Lytechinus pictus: one gene and its partners. The protein of the gene in region 1 purifies or fractionates together with the protein of each later gene. This does not show direct contact. Links are inferred from orthologs where the notes say so. Each region holds a gene or a part of one and is shown in the gene's direction. Other genes may lie near its edges.

Region 1 (7,473 bases):
ATAAATCAAGTCTCGTTACTATAGAGAGAGTGAAAGAAGGAAAGAAAGGACAGATAAAATACCTCCTGTACAAAGCAACAAATGTGTTACAGTGGTCTTATACATGTAATTGATTCCTCTTTGATATGAATAAACCTTATTGACATAATAATCCATTATTCTGTTTATAATCCATGGTTTTGTCTTCTCTTTCAGAAACAAGTCACCATAATGACAATCGTTTGTGCCATTCTTCAAATGTTAGCCCTAATTTGGTGAGTTTTTTAATGGAGTTCCCATGATTAAACTTATTAGTATGAAGTCTGGATTGAACTTCTAAGAGAAAATGTGCAAAAAATATTGAGTTGTTGTGACAATAACTCATTCTTGATCAATTATAATGACAATTTTCATCATTATAAAGCAAATTTCACAACTCTTAATGCAATATCAAATCATTTGAGACATAAATCCTTTTCAATGTTGGAGAAAACTTGTATAAAATCTATAGTATAAAAAGCCAAGTTTTGTGGAGGTGTCGTGGCTGAGTGCAGCCTGGCTGAGTGGTCTAATGACTAGAAACATGAAAGTCTGGGGTTCCATCCATTTAATCAACAGTGCTCTTTTATCCTACATCCGAATAAATGGAAATGCTATTCTTGGTAACAATGCGTACTCTTTAAAAAAAAAAGAAAAAAAATGAAGATGATTTGAAAGTAGCTTTATGAGACGCCCCCTGGATAAAAGTATTTCTAATTCTTTGATTCACAGGTATGTGATGAGCTACATCCCCGGTGGTCAGACTGGACTCAAGTTTTTCACCAAAGTGTTCACCTCTTTAGCAGGGAAAGCAGTATCAAGTTCATTACCGGTCTGATCAAGCAAAGATTCAAGATGAGAGAAACCACTCTAAAATAGAGATACACCCAATCTCCCGTGACCACTCGGATGAGTGTGAGGGGCCTCTGTCCTTGAGTGGTTGGCCATGAGGAAGTCAAGGACCAGGGGCCCGTTGCAGAAAGAGTTGCGTTGAAACGCAAGCCAAAAAATCAATCGCAAGTCCCAAATGCGCTTTGTTGATTGGTTGAAAATCAAGTTGCGCATGATTGTTAGAGTTGCGATTGATTGCAACTCTTTCTGCAACGGGCCCCTGGTCATGCTATACGTTTCACAAGACAACTCAAATGTTGTACCTCTCCATCCGTTTAAGAGGTTTTAAACATTCATGCAGTTGGCATGACAAGTTTCGGATGCAAAGAGATCGGGGGAAATGCCTCCAATAAAGGGACATCTCCGTGTGATGGTGCTACTTGGAGAATCTGATGATGAGATGATGACTTTCAAGCTTTATTTCTGACCTTTGCCCCAGAAGTATCTGTTGAAGAGGTTGTCGATGCTGGTAAAAATCAGACAAATATGTTTCTCTATGATTGAGAGTTTATTTGGTATTAAGAGGAAGAAAGAATAGTCACATTGATCGAGCCAGGCAAGCAATGAGGTGCACACCCTATTCATTCTTGTTATCATGTTTTATTTATGTACCAGTAGTCCACGGTTGGGCAATTCCATAAAATGATCAACCTTTTTGTACGTCCGACCCCCATTTTTCTCAAGTCTTGCTTCACTTTGTAAACTGACCAAGTCATGGTCCTTTGAAAACATTACAGACTGTCAAAAGAACAAGAAATCAGAGACAGAAAATTTCATGAAGTTCCCACATATAGGGGGTCAGACGTACATATTTTATGGAACTGCCCAGTTTTAAGTCCAGGGGCCCGTCTTACAAAGAGTTGCGATTGATCCGATCAATCACAACTATGGACGGCCCGCAACATCAACATGAATTATTCATGTTTGTTCAAAATATTTTCTAACTATGATTTATATTCTTGCATTCATTGTTTTCTTGAAAATTCACTGTGCTTCTCTTTGTTTACAAAGGACATTGTGCAAATTTCCTGTAGAAAAAATTATGACACTGATGAATTTCCATAGAGTTGTGATTGATTGAATCAATCGTAACTCTTTGTAAGACAGGGCCCAGATTTGTCCCCATTGAATGGGGGTGGCCTGATTCACCCTTTCCCTGCTTACCCCTCCCTCCATTTTGCATGATGCACTGCTTCCTTCATCCTCAGCCCAACCCTCCTCTCTTCCGTCAATTGCTTTTTCCATTAATTCTTTGGCCATCCCCTCTTCCTCCAACCACCCATCTGTATTTCTTATTTATATGGTATTGTTTATGATTTGTTATTCAGAGCTTGTTTCAATTCACTATCAAACACAACTCAAAACTTGAAATGAAAATTGAAGATGCCTCATCTTCATAAGTTGATTTCTAGAAAGGAAATCTGCATCATGAGACACTGTATCAAAGCACCTCTTGATTGTAGGTTGTTTTTGTTTCTTTTATTCCGAAAATGTCTCAAATTTTACAATTATTATTTTTTTTATGGTTTATGTTTTATGTTTACTGTGCTCCTTCCTCATGCTGTGATGGTGAAGAAAATTATTTTACTTATTATTCCCAGACAGATATGAATATTTTGAGTGTCAAAGTAATTGGATAAATTGAAACTTCTAAACTTAAAAAGTTGTGTCGCAGTGGGCCATCCAGAGTTTAATCACAACTTTAAGACCAGAGTTTAAATTGAACCAGAGTGCAGAATATAGGCCTTTGGGGTTTAGGATAGTCTAAAATAAATAATTTTTTGCTTGTTGACAAAGGCAAATTTGTGAAGAAAGTGAGTAATCATATTTAATGTCACACTATTTCTTGAAATTGTTTATATGATGCATTAGTGAAACTGAAACCAAGCTGAAATATGATATTATGAATGTACCCATTTTCGTAAAGGGCTGCATGATGATAGCCCAATACTACTGTATGACAGTGAAAGTTCTATTTATGAATAATATTTTGGTTTGTAATTTGTGCAATGTTCAACATTTTGTGACACTGAAACTTCAAAGGGAAAATGGTATACAGTAGAAGTCTCTATCTCTGTTTGCCCCTGTAAAATTCAACAGAATTTCAGTTTAGACTCCAGGGCCCGTTGCATAAAAATTACCATATCATGGTAACTTTTCCATGCAATGGTAACTTGCATTGAATCCTTGATTTTGATTGGCTGTTGAGCATTGTTACCATGGTAGTTACAATTGGATGGCAAAGTTGGACCATAATAGTAACTTTTATGCAACGGGGCCCTTGGGGTATCTTTCAATAAAAAAGAAAAGCAAATTAAAATCATTATCACATTTTATGATTATGTGGTACATGTTTGATGTGTACATGATCAAAATGCCTGTCCTTGACTGTGGCTGTATATATTTGGCAAGTAAAATTGAATATTAAAACTTTTATATGGTAATTTAATGTTATAAATACAATATATCTTTTACAGTGTTGTTGATTTTCCTTTGAGTTTTCAAATTCCTTTTTTTCTGAGAAAAGCCTTAACATTTAACAAGGTGTTTGGTGTGTGTCTGTTGGGGGGCATCAGGGAGTCCCAATTTAAATGTTAATGTTGTATGAAGATACTATATCAACACTCTTGTAGTGACATTTTCCTATAATTTGATGAAAATTATTTTCTTGTGAAAAGCAAAAAAAAAATATATAAAAAAACACAAACCAAATAGAGCCTTAACAAAACAAAAAGAATGAAGGAATAAAGAGAAGGAATAAATAAAACTTGGACTAAAAATAAAAGTAAGAATTGACTAAAGGAAGAGAAACAAAGAAATTAAGTTTGAAATGAAGAAAAAATGTGAGAACAAAGAAGGCAAAAGGAGTACTGCTGCTATTGATATATTTCACAAATTATATAAGAAAGTAACCCAATCAGATTTAACTCTGGTTTTCATTGGGGCCCTTTAAGATTGTTTGTAATAGTCTACCCTATTATTAATTTATTAGAGTTTATTTTTTCAGACCCATGGAAAGTTTTTTTTTCCTGAATGATAGAAGTAATTCTTGTTAAAAACAAGTGGAAAGAGAGAGGGAGAGAAAAAAAAGAAAGAAAGAATGAAAGAAAGAAAGGAAAGAAAAAGAAAAGTAAGTAGAAAGAAAAAAAGAAGGGAATCCGGAATCAGCAGAGATAGATATGAATGGAGCTATAATGAGACGCAAGGGTTTTTATTGAAGGTCAAGAGGGAAGCAAAGTAAGAGAAGGGGGAGAACAAAATAAAAGGAGAGAGAAAGGCAAATATAAGCTGACCACTAGAGGGCAGTATTCTGTAAAAATGTCGGCTGCAAGCGGTGTTGACGTGTTGCAAGGGTATTTTGAAAATGTCAAATCGGAGGTTTCAAAGCAAGATCCCATCATTTTGGGTGTTGCAGTCGCAATTATTGTCATTCTTTTCACCATGGGTAAGTTTGAGAGGATGAGTTGAATTTATTAATGAGTTGTGGGTAAATTTCAATTCGCCTTCTCGACATATGCCAGGTCATGTGCTCCGGTGGCTATTTGTTATGCATGTGTTGTCGTGTGCACAGATCGAGTAATGAGCTTGTGTAAATTGTATGATGAGCGACGGTGTTGGAGAGCGGGTTTACTTTCGGAGATCCTGCTGTACCCTGTTGCCTGTTGGGCAGAAGGGCGCTAATAATGCAGTTTCGCAAGGGCCGATTTCGAGCAAATTTCCTCACCAAAAATTGTTCACAAATGTCAGTAAGTCGAGGTAGCAGCAATGCCACGGCCACGGCCACCCACACTGGCCGCGGCGCGCGGAACACTAACTCTCGCGTCCAACATTAACAACACAAAAAGTAGAGGCGCACGGCCAATATGGGAGACTCTCTCCAATAGGGGAGACAATCTCCCACATTGGAGACCTGCTTTGCAAAAGGACAAAAGAAACAACACCAACAAAAGCATGATTTTTTCTAGACCAAAAGCTTCGGTCTCTGTTATGTTGGTTGTTCAGCTGAACTCCGTTGGCTTCACTCACCAAATACAGAGACCGAAGTTCTAGCGCGATCTCTACAGGGGACTCAATGGCCATATGTTTATGTACTTAAGATCGGATAAAAAGGGGAAGTGAATTTGCGCGACAGCTGCGGTAAGTCACTGTTTTTGTTCCTTTTAACTTGATTTTTCTCCGTTTTTTGGCAATTAATGCCAAGAGGGAATATTAATTTGCATTTTGGTCGCGTTAATTTTCAAAATTTTTATTCATTAAAGACAAAAATTGAAGAGCCCCGACGGGGGGATTTTGCATTGCAAGTCCCCTAATGGTGGCTGCACGCTAGCGAGCCGTCTGTGTACGAGGAGAAAAAAAAAAAAAAAAAAAAATGTTAAAAAACTCCTCGAAACAGACGGCTGCCAGCTGTCTAGATTTTTTCCACCCAAAATTTTGTCTCACTGAGGTCAGAAGCCCATTTGTTTTGTGTGTGATTGACAACAAAAATCCTTATCAAAACAAAAGTAGACGGTGAATTTTTAAAGTAGATGGTGAAAAGGGGTAATTTTTCATGAGGAATCTGCTTATCACATTTTTATTTGCCGCCAAGGTTATCCTTTTGCAGCAAATGTAAACAAAGGAAATTGGACTCCAAAACTGGAGACTGTCTCTGAAATTGGATACCCAAATTCTTTACAAAAGTCTCTGATATTGAAGATAATCTCCCACATTGGAGACAGTCTCCAATATTGGCCGTACGCCTCTACTGACAAAAATTCCCAACAACGACAACTCACAACTTATTAAACCCAGGCCAGGGAGCTCCGGCCTGTGAAGTGGGCCGGAGCCCAGGACTCGTCCTTGTAATACTAGGCAGACATGCATGGGTACTCTCCAAAATGGGGTAGAATGGGGTCTCTAGTCTAGACTAAAACTATCTATATCACCAAATAAAAGGGGAAAAAATAAATTATGCACTAACCTCGATTATAATGGATGGAGGTCTATCGTGACACAGAATCCTGACATCAAGGCACCAACTGGACCCTCAAAAAAAAGAAAAGTTAGACCTCCATGTCGCGTTCGTCACGCGGTAGCGATCGGCCATTATGTTTTCAATTTTGAAAGAAGGAGAACGAACAAGACAGAAATTTTCCTTTTTTTGAGGGTCAAGTTTGTTCCTCTGTGTCCCTGGGTTACCCACAACTGAGCCCTCTCTAGTCTATATGTTAATTCTGGCCTTCATTTAATTCAAGGCTAAATGCGATGTGTAACACACAATTGAAATAATACAGAAGAAAAACTTACAATTGTCACTATTTCAATGTTAATTCGTTGAACCATGGTCATTTTCAGTAAAAAAAACCCCTAGGTTTTCTATGACGTATATTGGGCATATCGTCACGCTGCAGAACATGTTTATGGTAAAATGAAAACATGGCTTTAACTTCCGGGTTTGCAGGGTCAGCTACAATCATGCATTGCAAGGGAAGTAGACTGTGATATCGGCTGCAAGATGGCTTCAAACGAAGCTAAGATGACAAACTTTAATTATTTTTTCCCCAAAATTCTATTTTTTCCCCTATGATTTTCATTGAAATATTAAACTGAAAATATGAGTAATTTTAGGCTAAATTTGAGGTATCTTTGAGGGCTTACAGCTCGAAACCGACCCCCTCAGAACATATTAAGAACCCTGTTGAACAACTGAGTAACTTGCAACGTTCTCTCTCGATTGCTACCAAACTTGGGGCCAATAAGTATGGCGCTGAGAAGCGCGAAAGACAATATTGAAGCCATGTCAAAAGTTTTTAGATTAATTTGCGATCGTTGGAAGGGTAAATGCACCCTCTCTGGCAGAAAGGCAAAATGTACTTAATCCCACGAAACATAATTTACGGGGACGTCTTTCAGGATATTTCGCCTGAGTGTATCAGTTTTAAAGATATATTTAACATTTGACAACTCTTTCCTTTAAAAATGATTTTATTGTAATATTTAACCATTGGACATGATTTGATGATGATGATGTATTGTTCGCAATGAATGAGGAATGGATTGTGAGAATAGAAGGGGGGGGGGGTCAAATTGCATTACCCCCTTTATTTATGTTTTTCCCTGGGCCAGGGGTTAAAACATATTTGGAAAGTAGAATAGATCTGTATAGATCTGTGTTTTTATAATAATGGATTCAGGGGGCAAGGCCTCCATATATATATTTTTTTTTGGGGGGGCAGGGAAGGTGGCTCATGATCCAAGCAATTAAAAAAAAAATTGGGGATGCGCTACTTACATGCTGAATTTGCAATATCTGTCACAATTGTGGGGGCTTGCTTTCGTAGGTATGTGGGGAAGGGGGGGGGGGGGGGCTGATGTCAAAGTCAAGGATTGATTTAAGTTTAGAAAGTTTTGCGCGGATGTGGCTGTCTTTCCCTTTGTTTTTCTTTCTATATTATATTTTTAATCCTTTCAGTAAAAGGGAATTATGAATATACCAGTTAAAGTTATTTATAAAGATAATGTACATGTTGATATTGTTCAATAAATTCTTTGTTCTATTATTCTACTGGTTTCTTGATCTATATA
Region 2 (6,903 bases), on another chromosome or scaffold:
TCTTGTCCGGCGCCGATTTAGATTAAGGTGGCGCTGATTATTCTTGATTGGCGCCAGTTATATGCAGGCAGCGATTATTTTTAACCGGCGAAGTTGTTGGGAAAAGGGTATATAGGTAAAAGAAAAGATAAGGAAGATGATATGATTGTGCTTTGCTGGGGGATAGTCTTTCCTTACTGTTGCTAATATTATATCAGTGTATAATTTTTTAAGCGGCGCCTTTTCTTTTCTTTCCTTTATTTTTATTTTTTCAAGCAGCGCCTTTTCTCTTTTTTACTTTTATTTTTTTGAGCGGCGCCTTCGGCGCCGCTCAAATATTAGGGGGGGGGGGCGCGCGCCCCCTGCGCCACCCCCCTGGATCCGCCACTGTGAACCTTATAGTAATTGTTTAAACAGTATAAACAAGTGTTTAAATCTTAAGCAACAAAGTTTAATTTTCAATATCTAATCTTCATTAAATTAAACATGATTGTCTAAACGGTTAAACAAATACTGTAAGGTTCATATAGTAAACAGCGTTGTATAAAAATATTAAACAGCGTTTTTACTGTAAAGCATGATATAAAGGCGACCGTGAAGATAATAAGTCCAAATCACACCTTGGCGATTGGTCCACGTCATTTTGGAACAAATCGCATTTTGCTAATTAAATCGTAGCCAATCGTATGATTGCTATGATCGTCATTACGACAAAATATTGATATGTTTTATTCCAATAAGGATGAAAGCATAGTCACAGAGTTGAAGATAGGTATTCGTACGATGATTTAAAACATCACATAGTAAGATATTCCATGTCCTCAATATTAGCATAACATATATTCTACTACCTTTTATTCCAAAATCGGGTCTAAGTCAGACCACTCCTAACTGTACGTTTTAAAAAGTGATGAAACTGGACTCAAATTTTTTTTTAGCAGTACCGGCGGTGATTCTGACGTTATAGGAGGTGGATTCTATGGTGTTCGATCCTCGTCCTAATTTACATGATATGGGGGGATGTATGAATGGGTGTCAGTGCATGCAGAAGATTGTCACGGGGGCGCGCAACAATAGATGCCCCCCAGCGTAATATCCTCTGTGATGCATAACTCTCAGTGCTATCCATCGATTAATGCCCATTGTTTTTGTATGGACACGCAAGAGCTCGTATGAGCTCTTAAAGGGGGGGGGGGGGGGTGGGGCCACTGCCATTAAACAGAGGACAGCATCCGCGACAAAGAAACGCGGAAAACGACAGTGCACGGCGTAACAGGCGGGGGGGGGGGGGCGTCTGGTGGATTTCACCGGGAAAATATACAGAAGGAAAAAAGGAGAAAAGGGAGAAATGAAATTAAGAAAGAACAGAAAGAAAGACAGAAAGAAAGTGAGAAAGAAAGGAAGGAAGACAAAGAAAGGGAGAAAGAAAGAAAACAAAGAAGGGGAGTGAGGGAAAGCAAAGGAGGAAAGGATTGAAAGGGAAAGGGAAAAAGTGAAAAGAAAACTAAAACATAAAAAAGGGAAAACGCAAGCAAAGCGGGAAAAGGAAGGAAATAAAAACATGCGAGAAAGAACAAATCATCCCTAATTCTATAATGTTAGCAAGTTATAGTAAGAAAAGGAATTAAAAGATGAAAAAATGGCACGGAAAAGAATGGTGGGAAAGGGAAAGGAATAGGCAAATAAAAGCGGGCAATGAAAGTAGAATGGAATGAGCCAAAATGTAAATTGGAGAAAGAAGAAAAGGGAAAAGAAACAAAAAGGAAAAAAATAATATCAAGAACGGGCTAGTGAGGATTGGAAATAAAGAACGGGAAGAGAGATTTATCTGTCACATAATCAAAATTTCATTTTAAAATGGCAATTTTTTTCTGGCGTGTTTCGCTCGCTGGCGACTTTTTTTTAAATACAAATTTACCAAATTTTTTATGTTGTGCCCCCTCAAAATATTTGCTTTATTAGATAACTGCGTCGAAGAAATGTGTTGTGCAAAAACTATACCTGCCATTTGATTAAAAATAGCGACCATCTGTAAAATTTAAAATGGCTTAATATCAAAAGGTTCCAGGAACTCCGCCCCAGACCCCACCCCTATAGCACTGGCGTAAAGCCATGGCCCCAAAGAGTTCTACAACCAAAAATGAAGAATGATCATATTTTCTGAAGATGTCAAAAACTAAAACTTAGATTCTCACCCTCACGATTTTTTTTTCTCGCTCGCTTTGCTCGCCCTGGACAGTTGTGCCCCCTCTTTCTTTAAACTCAACATGCTATCTGCTGAATAGAGCATTGGCGCCCTATATAATGCTCGCAAAGACAACCATAGAAAAAAATCCTGTTCCGACGATAGTGTCCAGACCAAGAATAATAATAAAAAAATAAAGGCAAGAGAGAAGGGTGAAACATTGTACAATTTTCTGAATATTAGGTCAAAATCTATAGCAAAATTAGATTTTGTAATAACAATTCGCCCGAGAAAAAAAAACATATTACGGTTCACCCTTTTCCCAACCATCCGTATCATCTATTAGTCTGCAGGTACAGACACTGATTGAAACTTTGATCAGCAAGTGGGTCTACACACAAAGACTAGCACATACGAAACTTAAGGCCACCGCACACCTTACGACTGGTCTGCGACCCGATTTCAGAATAAAATGTAATAGAATTTGATGCTAATATTGAGACTTGGAATATCTTACTGTGTAATGTTCGAAATCATCATACGAATACCTATGATCAAATTTGTGACTATGCTATCATCCTTCTTAGAATAAAAGCGAATTTAATATCTAGTCGTAATGACGTCATAGCAGTCTTACGATTGGCTACGATTTGAACCTAATTTGGTATTTACTCCAAAATAAGGGCTTGCAATCTTTCAAAATTGTTGTAATATTATTATTTCAATTAATTTCAACCTCAAATAAAATGATATGTTCCATTCACATCTTCAGAAAATGAGCAAAATGCGATTTGTTCCTAAATCGGGTCGCAGACCAGTCGTAAGGTGTGCGGTCGCCTTTAAGAGGGCCTTCAGTAGGCTTAGGAGCTGCGGAACGTATTATCGTTGGGGGGGGGGGGGGCAAAGCCAAAAAGGGGCACTCATATAGGGAATTTTGGAGCAAACGGATATTTTCACCATGAGATTATCATCTGCATGCGTGCAGTTGTGTGTTTTGGAGTAGTTGAGAAAAGCCTTTTTTAAAGTGATTTCTGATTATGCCTTTATTTTCCGCGATAAAGTGTAGCGAGCAAGCGGTTTGGAAAAAATCTGAAGTTAGTACATGTATTATAACTCAAGAGCATCCCTGGGTGATGTTGCGAGCGTGAAACGCGAAAATTAACCAGTCCGAATAGTTTTGGTAATCATGAAAAAGATGTGTATGTAACTAAAGAATTAAGGCCAGCGCGAACTGAAATTTTGAATGCTGACCAGAAAAGGACCTTTTATAAGGACTGCATATAGTTACTCATAAATAGGGTACATATCTTACCAATCGAATAATGCGAGCGCAAAGGGCAAGCTGAAAATTTGTGATATTTGAACATGAAAACCGGAAATTCTAAGCATTTTTGTAACCATGAACAGGATGAGAACCTTACTTAACAGTAATTGAGCACGTTGGCACATTTCATTTAAAAAAGATGCATTTTCCATTAAAGGCATTTTTTCTACGGGTATTTTTTTTTTTTTTTTTTTTTTTTTTTTTGGGGGGGGGGGGGCTGCCCCCAGTTCCGCTGCCTCTGAATAGGCTGAGCACTCATCTATCGGTTGTAGCACAATCAAATCAATGTACTACGTATAAAACAAAAACAATGTACCAACTTTATTTTGCTTGCTTGTTGCATGGATCGAGGGTACCGTAATATTGACTGCATTAAAAAAAAGTGACAAGTTCAGTCAGATTGCGTGTAAATCGACAACGGCGAGGGCCGGAAAGTGACAATATGTTAGACCTTTTCACGATTTTTAGCAAAGGAGGGATTGTTCTTTGGTGTTTCCAAGGGACGTGTCAAGCCTTTGGAGCGCCCGTGAATTCGCTGATTAAAAGTGTAATTCTTCAGGTGGGGAAATTTAGATTTATGTCTATAGTATTTCGCAATAGCTTTCGCAATCGCGCAGTGTTGGCAAATCCGATCTAGGCCTAGTCGTAGCCGTATCTCCCCCCGGACCCGTCGGGCGTAAGGGCCCCGATCCCCCGTCTGACTTTAGTTTGAGCTATAACAGTGCAGTGCGTATTACACAACAAAAAAAAAACGGGACGGTTTATAAAAAAATGTTGTTTCAAATTATGATATCGATATAGGCTTAACTGCAGAATACCCCGCACATTTCATTACCTCAACGTTGGCGAGCCAACGTCACGACCTACGATGTGAAGAATCAGAATCAATCTCGACGTGATCGATCCTGAAGATTCGTTGTCTTGTCAGTTTTTACGATACGACCCGTACCGGTACTGTACTTCCGAGCCATACGAATACACGCGCGCATGCTTGTACTCTCGCGCGCATACCGTTGGCGAGCCAACGACCTACGATGTTCCTACTATGTGCATAGGGTTAGGGTTAGGTTAGGGTTAGGGTTAGGGTTAGGGTTAGGGTTAGGGTTAGGGTTAGGGTTAGTAGCATGCCAAATTCACAACGTTGGCATCGTTGGCTCGTTGGTAGCATGCCAATCTAACAACGTTGGCATCGTTGGTTCGTTGTCAGCAAGCCAATACAAGTCACAACGTTGGCATCGTTGGCTCGTTGGTAGCATGCCAAAGTCACAACGTTGGCATCGTTGGCTCGTTGGTAGCATGCCATGCCAAAGTCACAACGTGGCATCGTTGGCTCGTTGGCAGCAGGCCAAACTCACATCGTTGGCATCGTTGGCTCGATGGCAGCATGCCAAACTTACAACGTTGGCATCGTTGGCTCGTTGGCAGCAGGCCAAACTCACATCGTTGGCATCGTCGGCTCGTTGGTAGCATGTCAAACTCACAACGTTGGCATCGTTGGCTCGTTGGTAGCATGCCAAACTCACAACGTTGGCATCGTTGGCTCGTTGGTAGCATGCCAATCTTACAACATTGGCATCGTTGGCTCGTTGGCAGCATGCCAAACTCACAACGTTGGCATCGTTGGCTCGTTGGTAGCATGCCAATCTTACAACATTGGCATCGTTGGCTCGTTGGTAGCATATGCCAAACTCACAACGTTGACATCGTTGGCTCGTTGGCAGCAAGCCAATACAAGTCACAACGTTGGCATCGTCGGCTCGTTGGCAGCATGCCAAACTCACAACGTTGGCATCGTTGGCTCGTTGGAAGCATGCCAATCTCACAACGTTGGCATCGTTGGTTCGTTGGCAGCAAGCCAATGCAACTCACAACGTTGGCATCGTCGGCTCGTTGGCAGCATGCCAAACTCACATCGTTGGCATCGTTGGCAGCAAGCCAACGCAAGTCAAAACGTTGGCATCGTTGGCTCGTTGGTAGCAAGCCAACGCAAGTCAAAACGTTGGCATCGTTGGCTCGTTGGTAGCATGTCAAACTCACAACGTTGGCATCGTTGGCTCGTTGGAAGCATGCCAATCTCACAACGTTGGCACCGTTGGATCGTTGGCAGCAAGCCAATGCAACTCACAACGTTGGCATCGTTGGCTCGTTGGCAGCATGCCAAACTCACAACGTTGGCTCGTTGACAGCATGCCAAACTCACATCGTTGACATCGTTGGCTCGTTGGTAGCAAGCCAACGCAAGTCAAAACGTTGGCATCGTTGGCTCGTTGGTAGCATGCCAATCTCACAACGTTGGCATCGTTGGCTCGTTGGCGGCATGCCCTATGCAAAAATCGCGTAATCAATCGTTGGCTTGACGTAAACAAGTTCGAATTTTAGTCACAACTCGGCTTTGTTGCAACATCCTTTCATCACATCGTAGGTCGTTGGTCGATTCAAACATCCATGCTCTCGTCGTGCGGGGTATTCTGCAGTTGTTCCTCGATATATTTGATGTTAATAGATGCTCTCAAAAGTAAAATCTTAATATTCTTATCACTATCAGTATCACTCGGACAGTAGAGGTGCACGGCCAATATTATTGGACTCTTTGGAGACTGTCTCCAACGTGGGAGATTATCTCCAATATCAAAGACTTTTGTTAGTTTTGTAAAGAATTTGGGTATCCAATTTCAGAGACAGTCTCCAGTTTTGGAGTCCAATTTCCTTTGTTTACATTTGCTACAAAAGGATTACCTTGGCGGCAAATAAAAATGTGATAAGCAGATTCCTCATGAAAAATTACCCCTTTTCACCGTCTACTTTAAAAATCCACCGTCTACTTCTGTTTTGATAAGGATTTTTGTTGTCATCCACACACAAAACAAATGGGCTTCTGACCTCAGTGAGACAAAATTTTTGATGGAAAAAATTACACTTTTGTTGGTGTTTCTTTTACTCTTTTGCAAAGCAAGTCTCCAATATGGGAGACAATCTCCCATATTGGAGAGAATCTCCCATATTGGCCGTGCGCCTCTACTGATAGATGCTCTCAAATCTTTAGTTTGACTTTGAAATGCCATTTTAAAAAATAAATTTTGTTCATGCTTTGGCTAGTTTGGCTTTGCCTTGGCTTTTACTTAGTTAAACTTTAAACTTAAAGGGGAATCCAACCCAAATAAAAACTTGTTTTTTTATAAGAAAAAGAAAAATCAGGTAAGTTGATAGGTGAAAGTTTGAACAATATTGGACAAATAACAAGAAAGCTATGAATTTTTAAAAGTTGTAAATATTGGTAATCACTAAACTCATGGAGACTTCAAATTGGCCGCATATGGGATGTCATAGTGATGTAAGGCAAGGACTACTCTTCCATGTACTCCAATACATATTATGGCTAAAATGTCATTTTTCCCAAAAGTTTTATTTCAAATTA
Region 3 (6,879 bases), on another chromosome or scaffold:
TAAACTATATAAATACACGCTAAAGACGTATAAATTGGACAATATTTAAACATTACAGGAATGTAAATAAACATGTATTGCAATTACAACATAAAAAGGAATTGAAAACCAATAAATTACTCATACAGGCAAAGAATGAAGAAACGTCTGGAGAGAGATACAGCTAAAAGTTAAAGAATGAAAGAGACAAAAGCGAAATGAAAAAAAAATGGATAGAGAAATAGACAGAAATTGGACGAAGAAAAAAAAAGGAACGTAATTAGAAAAAGGATAATGGAAACAGAGGAGGAGAGAGAGGGAGAGTGCCAAAGTGCCAAAGGATTGATAAAATGCGTTACAACATGATATACACAGCTGCAATTCAAGTAATTTCATAAGAATAAAATTATTATAAATATAAAACCCGGCTTTGTGATGCATTTACGGCAGAGGCAATTAGAATCGACAATCTTAATTCAATGAACCATTTAGAAATAACATTCAAAAGTTTCGTAAGTGTGTCTGGGTTGAAAATGAATAAAGAAAAGATATATATAATCATGATAATGCTATCACTGGCGTACAGATGGGGGGCCTGGGGGGCTCTTCCCCCCAAAAAAATCACGACCAAGAAAAAAAAAAAGGAAAGAGAAAAGAGTGAAATGTGATATCATTTCCTAAAATTATTACAAAACCTTTCACAAAATTGTATTTTTTTTAATAAAAATGACAATTTTTTTGCTCGCTCGCAACTTTTTAATAATTTTACGCGATACGCCATATCTAGCCCCTCAATTTTTGTTTTGCTCATTACGCCACTAAATGCTATTTGGCAATGTTAATCAAGAAAAACCAGGGGCACTCCATTTCGGAAAATTAGTACCATTCATAAAATTATTAGGGGTATTTTTTAGCTTAACAGGTAAAAGAGAGTATGAACTATATGAAGAAGTTTTGAGCAAAATTAAAAACTCCCTCTCACGGTATGCTTGGGTAAATTGACCTTTGATTTTTTATGAAGAGAAAAAGACAAGGTTAAGAGAACTACAATGTTTCTTGATTTCAAATATGAGGAACTTAAAATGATGAATTTTTGTCTATATCACAGTTTTGGAATCAACAAATGAAATGGATTTGTATTGTTATTACTTCATTTTTCTCTGTAAATACGATATTCTAAAGTACAGTTAAAGCTGCATGTCTTTATCGCCGTTTTATTTACAGCTATTAAATACATGGTTGGAATCGTAACATCTGTAACAGTAATCTGTAATGAAGTCATTTTTAATAATAAATATATTGTTTTCGGGGCTTTCCATTCCATCATGCAGATCTAATATCGAAAGGTATTTATTCAGGTTAAAACATGTTGCAGATAAAGATGGTGAATTGAAAACGGATGCAATTTCAAAAGTAAAGGTCTCACTTCATCATATTCATGGAATATAATTATTACAGGTAATAATTATGCCTATATTTGAGAAAATTCCGCCCAGTTGGAAAAGGTAAATGCATTTCACGGAAGAAAAGAAAAAAGAGAAATAGATCTGGAAAAAATTTTATTCATTGTTTTGGGGAATTGAACTCGTCTTAAAAAAGATGGTAAAGAACTATTCTCAATTCTAAATTAGAAGTTAATCGGTTCAAAGAATAATTTAGTTTGTCTAAAGAGATATGCCTATTGAAAACACTTTCTCAGGCCGAGAAAATGTATTTTGAATAGTAAGCTGAGGGAATTTCAATTCAAAATGCTATGGGATTATTTACACGAATTGTGATTTATATTGATTTGGTCTTACTGATCTGCAGTTTTGTCAGATAGAAGTAGAAACCTGTTCACATTCGTTTGCTATGGGGGGGGGGGGGCATGTGAATACTGGTAAAGGTTTGAGAAAAATCCAACAAAGATTAAGGAAGTTATTAAAATTTAAGTTTTGGATATGTGACGTCATAAACGAGCATCTGTTATAAAATGCATGAATTTCAAATTTTTATTGGTTCATGATGACTTACTTCCCGGGCTTATTTTTGTTTTCTTTTTAGGAAGGGGTGTGAAATGATTTGCCTACAGATATACTAAATGTCACAATGAAAACTATTATCAATTTTCTGAGATAATGACATTTCATTATTTTTTCTTACCATTCGATATGTAGGAATGCTGATCGCATATTACGTTACAAATCAAATAATTAAAATTCTAATAAGTTTTCTATTCTTTGATGGATTTTTCTCAAACCTTCGGCAATGTTTTTAAGTATTTTTCTGCTAAAATTTTTTGCAATTATCTTTTTGTCAGGGTGAACTTCCCCCTTAACTTACTCATTTTTAAGAACTGGATTGGGAAGGAATATTTTTGGTGCACCCTTGGGTGATACCAGGAAGACGTATTATTGTGTAATATTGTTATTGAAATATATCCTATATTCAATCTAAAAAGAAAAATATACCTCCTTATATAACCACTGGAAGTGAAAGAAATTTTCGTAAGAAATAAATTTGAGGAAAAAAGGATATACGTCATTTTTAAACATGGGAGGCTTTTGATTCCGAATGAATGGCAGAGTTACTTTTTTTCCTTTTCTTCTTCTTCCTTTTCTTCTTCATTTATTTCTCTCCTTTTCTCTTCTCTCTCTCCCCTCAATGTATACGTTGTATAGCAGTGCAGATTCTAATGTTCAAGCGGGGGCTTGCCTGGGTCATTGTTTTTTTTTGGGGGGAGCGAGGCGCAGATATGGTGGGGCTGGGGAGGGTGGGATGGGATGGGCAAGGTGGTGTGGGGAAGGAGGGGGCCTGAGTGCGGGTTTTGGTTTTCTTTATTTTTTCTGTATTATATTTCTTAAGTTTCTTTCAGTGAATTGGAATAATGAATGGACCAGTTTAATTGATTTAAATCTATAGATTTGTGTACCTGTTATACTTTGTTATTGGTACTTTGATGTATTATTTATGAAGTTAATCGTCAGTTTATGTTTGTATTTCAGAGCTGGTTGTAAATGTCACTGAATGAATTGATTTAAAAGAAAAAAACACTTGGGGTGGGAGGTAGAACATCACTGTTTTTTATCATTGTTTTTTTTTCTCTTTCTTGTCATTTACATGTAATACATCACAGAAGCGGATCTAGAGGGGGGGTTGGGGGGGTTGCAACCCCCCAAAAAAAAATCCGGGGACCATTTTTTTAAATCTTATCTTTTTTTTTAAACTTGTAATTTTATTTTATTCTATTTCTATGTATTTATTTCATTTATTATTATTATTATTATTATTATTATTATTTCTTTTGGGGGGAGGGGGGGGTTGGGCGAACAAATGTTACATTGCAGGAAAATGCAACTTAATTTTACAAATTTTCATGGGGGTTAATTTGGCAACGACCTCTATACCAAAAAGAGTGGTGTTTTAGATGCAAGAAAACGCCATTTTCACACACAGATTTTCAAAAATTTTCCCTACTGTGGGAGGGGGACACCCCCCTCCCACACCCTCCCCCCTCGCTCGCTCCGCTCGCTTGGACTCGGTCGCTACGCTCCCTCGCATACCACCCCAACCCCCCCCCTTTATAAAAAGCTGGATCCGCCCCTGCATCATGTTAAAATTTTCATTTGTAATTGTTGAAACTGGGGTTGAAACGCATGTTGTCATCAGTATCCGGGTCAGTATTAATTTCCGGTATATTTGAAGTTCGATGTATATTTGTATAATCATATGGGATATGGATTTATTGCAAAATTTATAATCATGTTTCAATTGATTTTTCATGAAATGTAAATGTGTATTTTGATTTGAGAGAATACAATAAAAACATCCTTTAAAAAAAATTAAAAAAAACACTCGATTCTGCTCTCCAACATTAGACCTAAAGAGGGCGGTTTTCTAAAACACGTAATAGGCAGTGGGAGGATCAGCACAGAGGTTGATGCCTGATGTCGAAAATTTTCTTTTCCCCTGTAGATTTGCTAGAATTAAGGTAAGTTTTCAATTCACATTTCATTTTTGCATATATTGTAAAATGATATCATCAACGAGATAGAGCAATATATGTCTCAGGATAGTTATGTAAGCACGAAAAAGAATAGCAATAAAAGATGTGTGTGATGGGACTGATGAGCTGCTGTGCTAGTCGACGCGAGCGTTACCGAGAACGGTACGATACACTACTGGACCGGGAGAGCGTCGGCGGTGCAGTGCAGTGACGGGCATATAGGCCTAGACCAAAAGCTTCAGTCTCTGACTCAGCTTTGTACTGTAGATTTGGTTGTTCCGCTGAACTGCGTTGGCTTCTCGCCAGACTGAAGTATACTTGGCCCTAGATAGCTGGCAGCCGTCTGCTTCAAGGAGCTTTTTTAATAATTTCACACCCCTTCTTAACAAGGAAACAAAAATAAGTCATCACGAATAAAAAAAAAAATTGAAATTCATGCATTTTATAATATGGGACAGATGTAGCCTAGAAGGCTAGTAGCCACGTACGTGCATAGCGCCAACTTAATGTGTTCCGCCATCTTGATTGTTGGTTGCCGATAAAATGCGCATTTTCAGATTTTTTAACGCTCAGTTATTATCCATGACTGAAACATTGACCAATCAAAAACTAAGATTCTATAAGAAATATGAATATTCATATACGAAAGTATAAACATAGATAATTCAGTTTTATGTGAAATTTAAACCCAATACTTCAAAATATGGTTAGTTTTATGTCTCTAAAATGACCCTTAAAACCAGAATTTTATTACTAAAAAATAAAGGTTTTCCCAAGTTGCCATGGTAACGTGGTCTGAGATATAAAAGCTTAGCAAACACTTCATTTCAGTGATCGAGGATGTATTTGTTTACGTTATACGCAAGGCTCGACATTAGCGGTGGCCCGGGGCCACCAAAAATTCACCTCGGGCAACCATTATTGATAAAATGTTAAGTTTTGGTGGCCCGAATCGGGCAACCAATAATTTTCAAAGTAGCGCAATTTTTCTCCCAATTTTGCACGCATTTATCAACTTTCTACAGCTCAAATTGCAAGCCAGTTCGTCATGCGCCCTTTTTGTTGATCTACACACAAATACACACACACAAAGTTTGCATATTAGGCCTACAGCTATAGCATACAGTAGCTATTATCCAGCCAGACGCGCCGGCCGGCTGGCGTGAGCTTTGCATGAAGCCACTGCATACAGCTGTGCTCTAGATCTAGCTAGCTCAGCCTATTCAGACTCAGGGAGCTGCGATAAAAAATGTTGCAGCTGAGAAATCTTCCACAGAACTTTGAAAATCTCAGTCAAAGTCACATTTTACACCAATGAAATGCAATTCTACAGTCTATATTACGAAAATCTGGTGTATCCTGATTATTTGCAAGTATTAAGAAGAGGAATTATGACCTCTCTTTTGACTCAAAAAGACCGATTTCCACATGAATTAATACACATAAAACACATAGGCAATTACATCACAGTCCCACGTGTGCATTTGTATGTATGTTGATACTTGGTTTCTTTCGAAGCTGTGTATTTTCTAGCCAAAAACAAACAGACAGTTTCTTTCTTTCTTGTTTATAAATGACTTCTTAAACCACTCTTGAGAAAGTAAATACTTTGGGAAGGCATTTCATTGATATGAAATGTGATTTTTTCACCCAACATTTTGGCAAATATAGGGAAGGACTTTTCTCACACTTTTTTTCCAGATATAATTTTTGCCGTTTTCTTTTTTTTTTCCTTTCATTTTTTTTTGACAGTGGTTAAACCATTTATACACCTTCCCATTGAATATGCCTGATTAAAAAATATGTTTCTACTGAAAATAAAATAATACAAACTAAAGGATATAAAAATAAAAATGTGCCATTCCCATAAAGTAAGTGAAAATTATTTGCTTGGCTTTTAATTATATTCCAGTCAGAATAGACTGTTGCCACATCTGTTAAAAAATATATGTAATGGCTTCTTAATTTTCCCCTTTTCCCCATTTTTTTATTAACTTTGTTTTATTAATTTTTCTTTCATTTTCTTTTCTTTTTTCTCTCTAATTTTTTTATTTTCTTTTTTTCCCTGTTCTTTGTTTTTTCTTTCTTCATTTTCTTTCTTTTGTTTTATTTCACTAATTTCTTTTATTATTTTTGTTTTCTTTTTGTAATATACTTTTTGAAAATTATTTTCGTTTGTTTCCCCCTTTTATGCATTGTTCTAATTTTGCAGCATATTTTTCTGTGATTTTCTCCTTCTATAATATGCTGCAAAAGAGAAAACAGAAATAAACTGGATTTGGGGCATGCATATTCTAGGTTTTAGGATTCAAAGAGGAAGGAAGGAAAAACCATTGTTTTGTACATCTATCTGAATTTGCTATGCACTATTTATTTACTTTACCATTATCTCTATACAGAGATTTAAAAAAAGTCCACACAACCTGCGAACAATACAATTAATTTATTCTCTTTCAATCATTTCATTTTTACAACAATAGAAACGTTTATCAATTAGCAAAGTAAAATTACAGCAAACAAGGTTTACATGTATAAAGTAAAAGTAACATAGTGGTAGTGGCTGCAGAATTAATATTTCAGAAGTTTGTTTTATTCATTTTTAATGTTTTTCTTTATATTTTTCGGGCCACCAAACTTTAATATCGGGCCACCAAAAAAAAAATTTTGATGGTTTTGGTGGCCCGAACGGGCCACCACCAAAAAAAGTTAATGTGGAGCCTTGTTATACGTCTACATAAATTATAACATTTTTTCCAGACCATGGATGAACTTTCAAAAAGAGACATTTAAGGCAAGTTTTTACGATTTCCGGCAATTTTCTGACACAGGCACTTTGAAGAGGTAATTTTTACAGAATTAGAAGAAGACATCGTGGATTTTCCTAATTATCACGACGGATATGCAACTTACTTGTA

What was found. Proteins that work in one complex are often made in the same cells at the same time.
Region 2: the proteins of signal recognition particle receptor subunit beta-like (region 1) and signal recognition particle receptor subunit alpha-like purify together in Homo sapiens (affinity purification with mass spectrometry; 6 studies listed by BioGRID and IntAct, counting the BioPlex papers as one, with this or other methods). This does not show direct contact. The link is inferred for Lytechinus pictus from reciprocal best matches to the Homo sapiens genes SRPRB and SRPRA.
Region 3: the proteins of signal recognition particle receptor subunit beta-like (region 1) and E3 ubiquitin-protein ligase RNF185-like purify together in Homo sapiens (affinity purification with mass spectrometry; 3 studies listed by BioGRID and IntAct, with this or other methods). This does not show direct contact. The link is inferred for Lytechinus pictus from reciprocal best matches to the Homo sapiens genes SRPRB and RNF185.

What each region holds. Positions count from the first base shown.
Region 1 is NC_087258.1:10,463,046-10,470,518, reverse strand, and holds the start of signal recognition particle receptor subunit beta-like, read left to right. Parts: upstream 1-4,456; 5' UTR 4,457-4,507; coding exon 4,508-4,655; intron 4,656-7,473. Other genes in the region: uncharacterized protein LOC129276264, read left to right, coding at 196-254, 751-856. UniProt on the Homo sapiens protein: Component of the signal recognition particle (SRP) complex receptor (SR). Ensures, in conjunction with the SRP complex, the correct targeting of the nascent secretory proteins to the endoplasmic reticulum membrane system.
Region 2 is NC_087252.1:13,678,142-13,685,044, reverse strand, and holds the start of signal recognition particle receptor subunit alpha-like, read left to right. Parts: upstream 1-3,881; 5' UTR 3,882-3,930; coding exon 3,931-4,047; intron 4,048-6,903. UniProt on the Homo sapiens protein: Component of the signal recognition particle (SRP) complex receptor (SR). Ensures, in conjunction with the SRP complex, the correct targeting of the nascent secretory proteins to the endoplasmic reticulum membrane system.
Region 3 is NC_087246.1:35,946,221-35,953,099, forward strand, and holds the start of E3 ubiquitin-protein ligase RNF185-like, read left to right. Parts: upstream 1-3,857; 5' UTR 3,858-3,949; intron 3,950-6,879. UniProt on the Homo sapiens protein: E3 ubiquitin-protein ligase that regulates selective mitochondrial autophagy by mediating 'Lys-63'-linked polyubiquitination of BNIP1.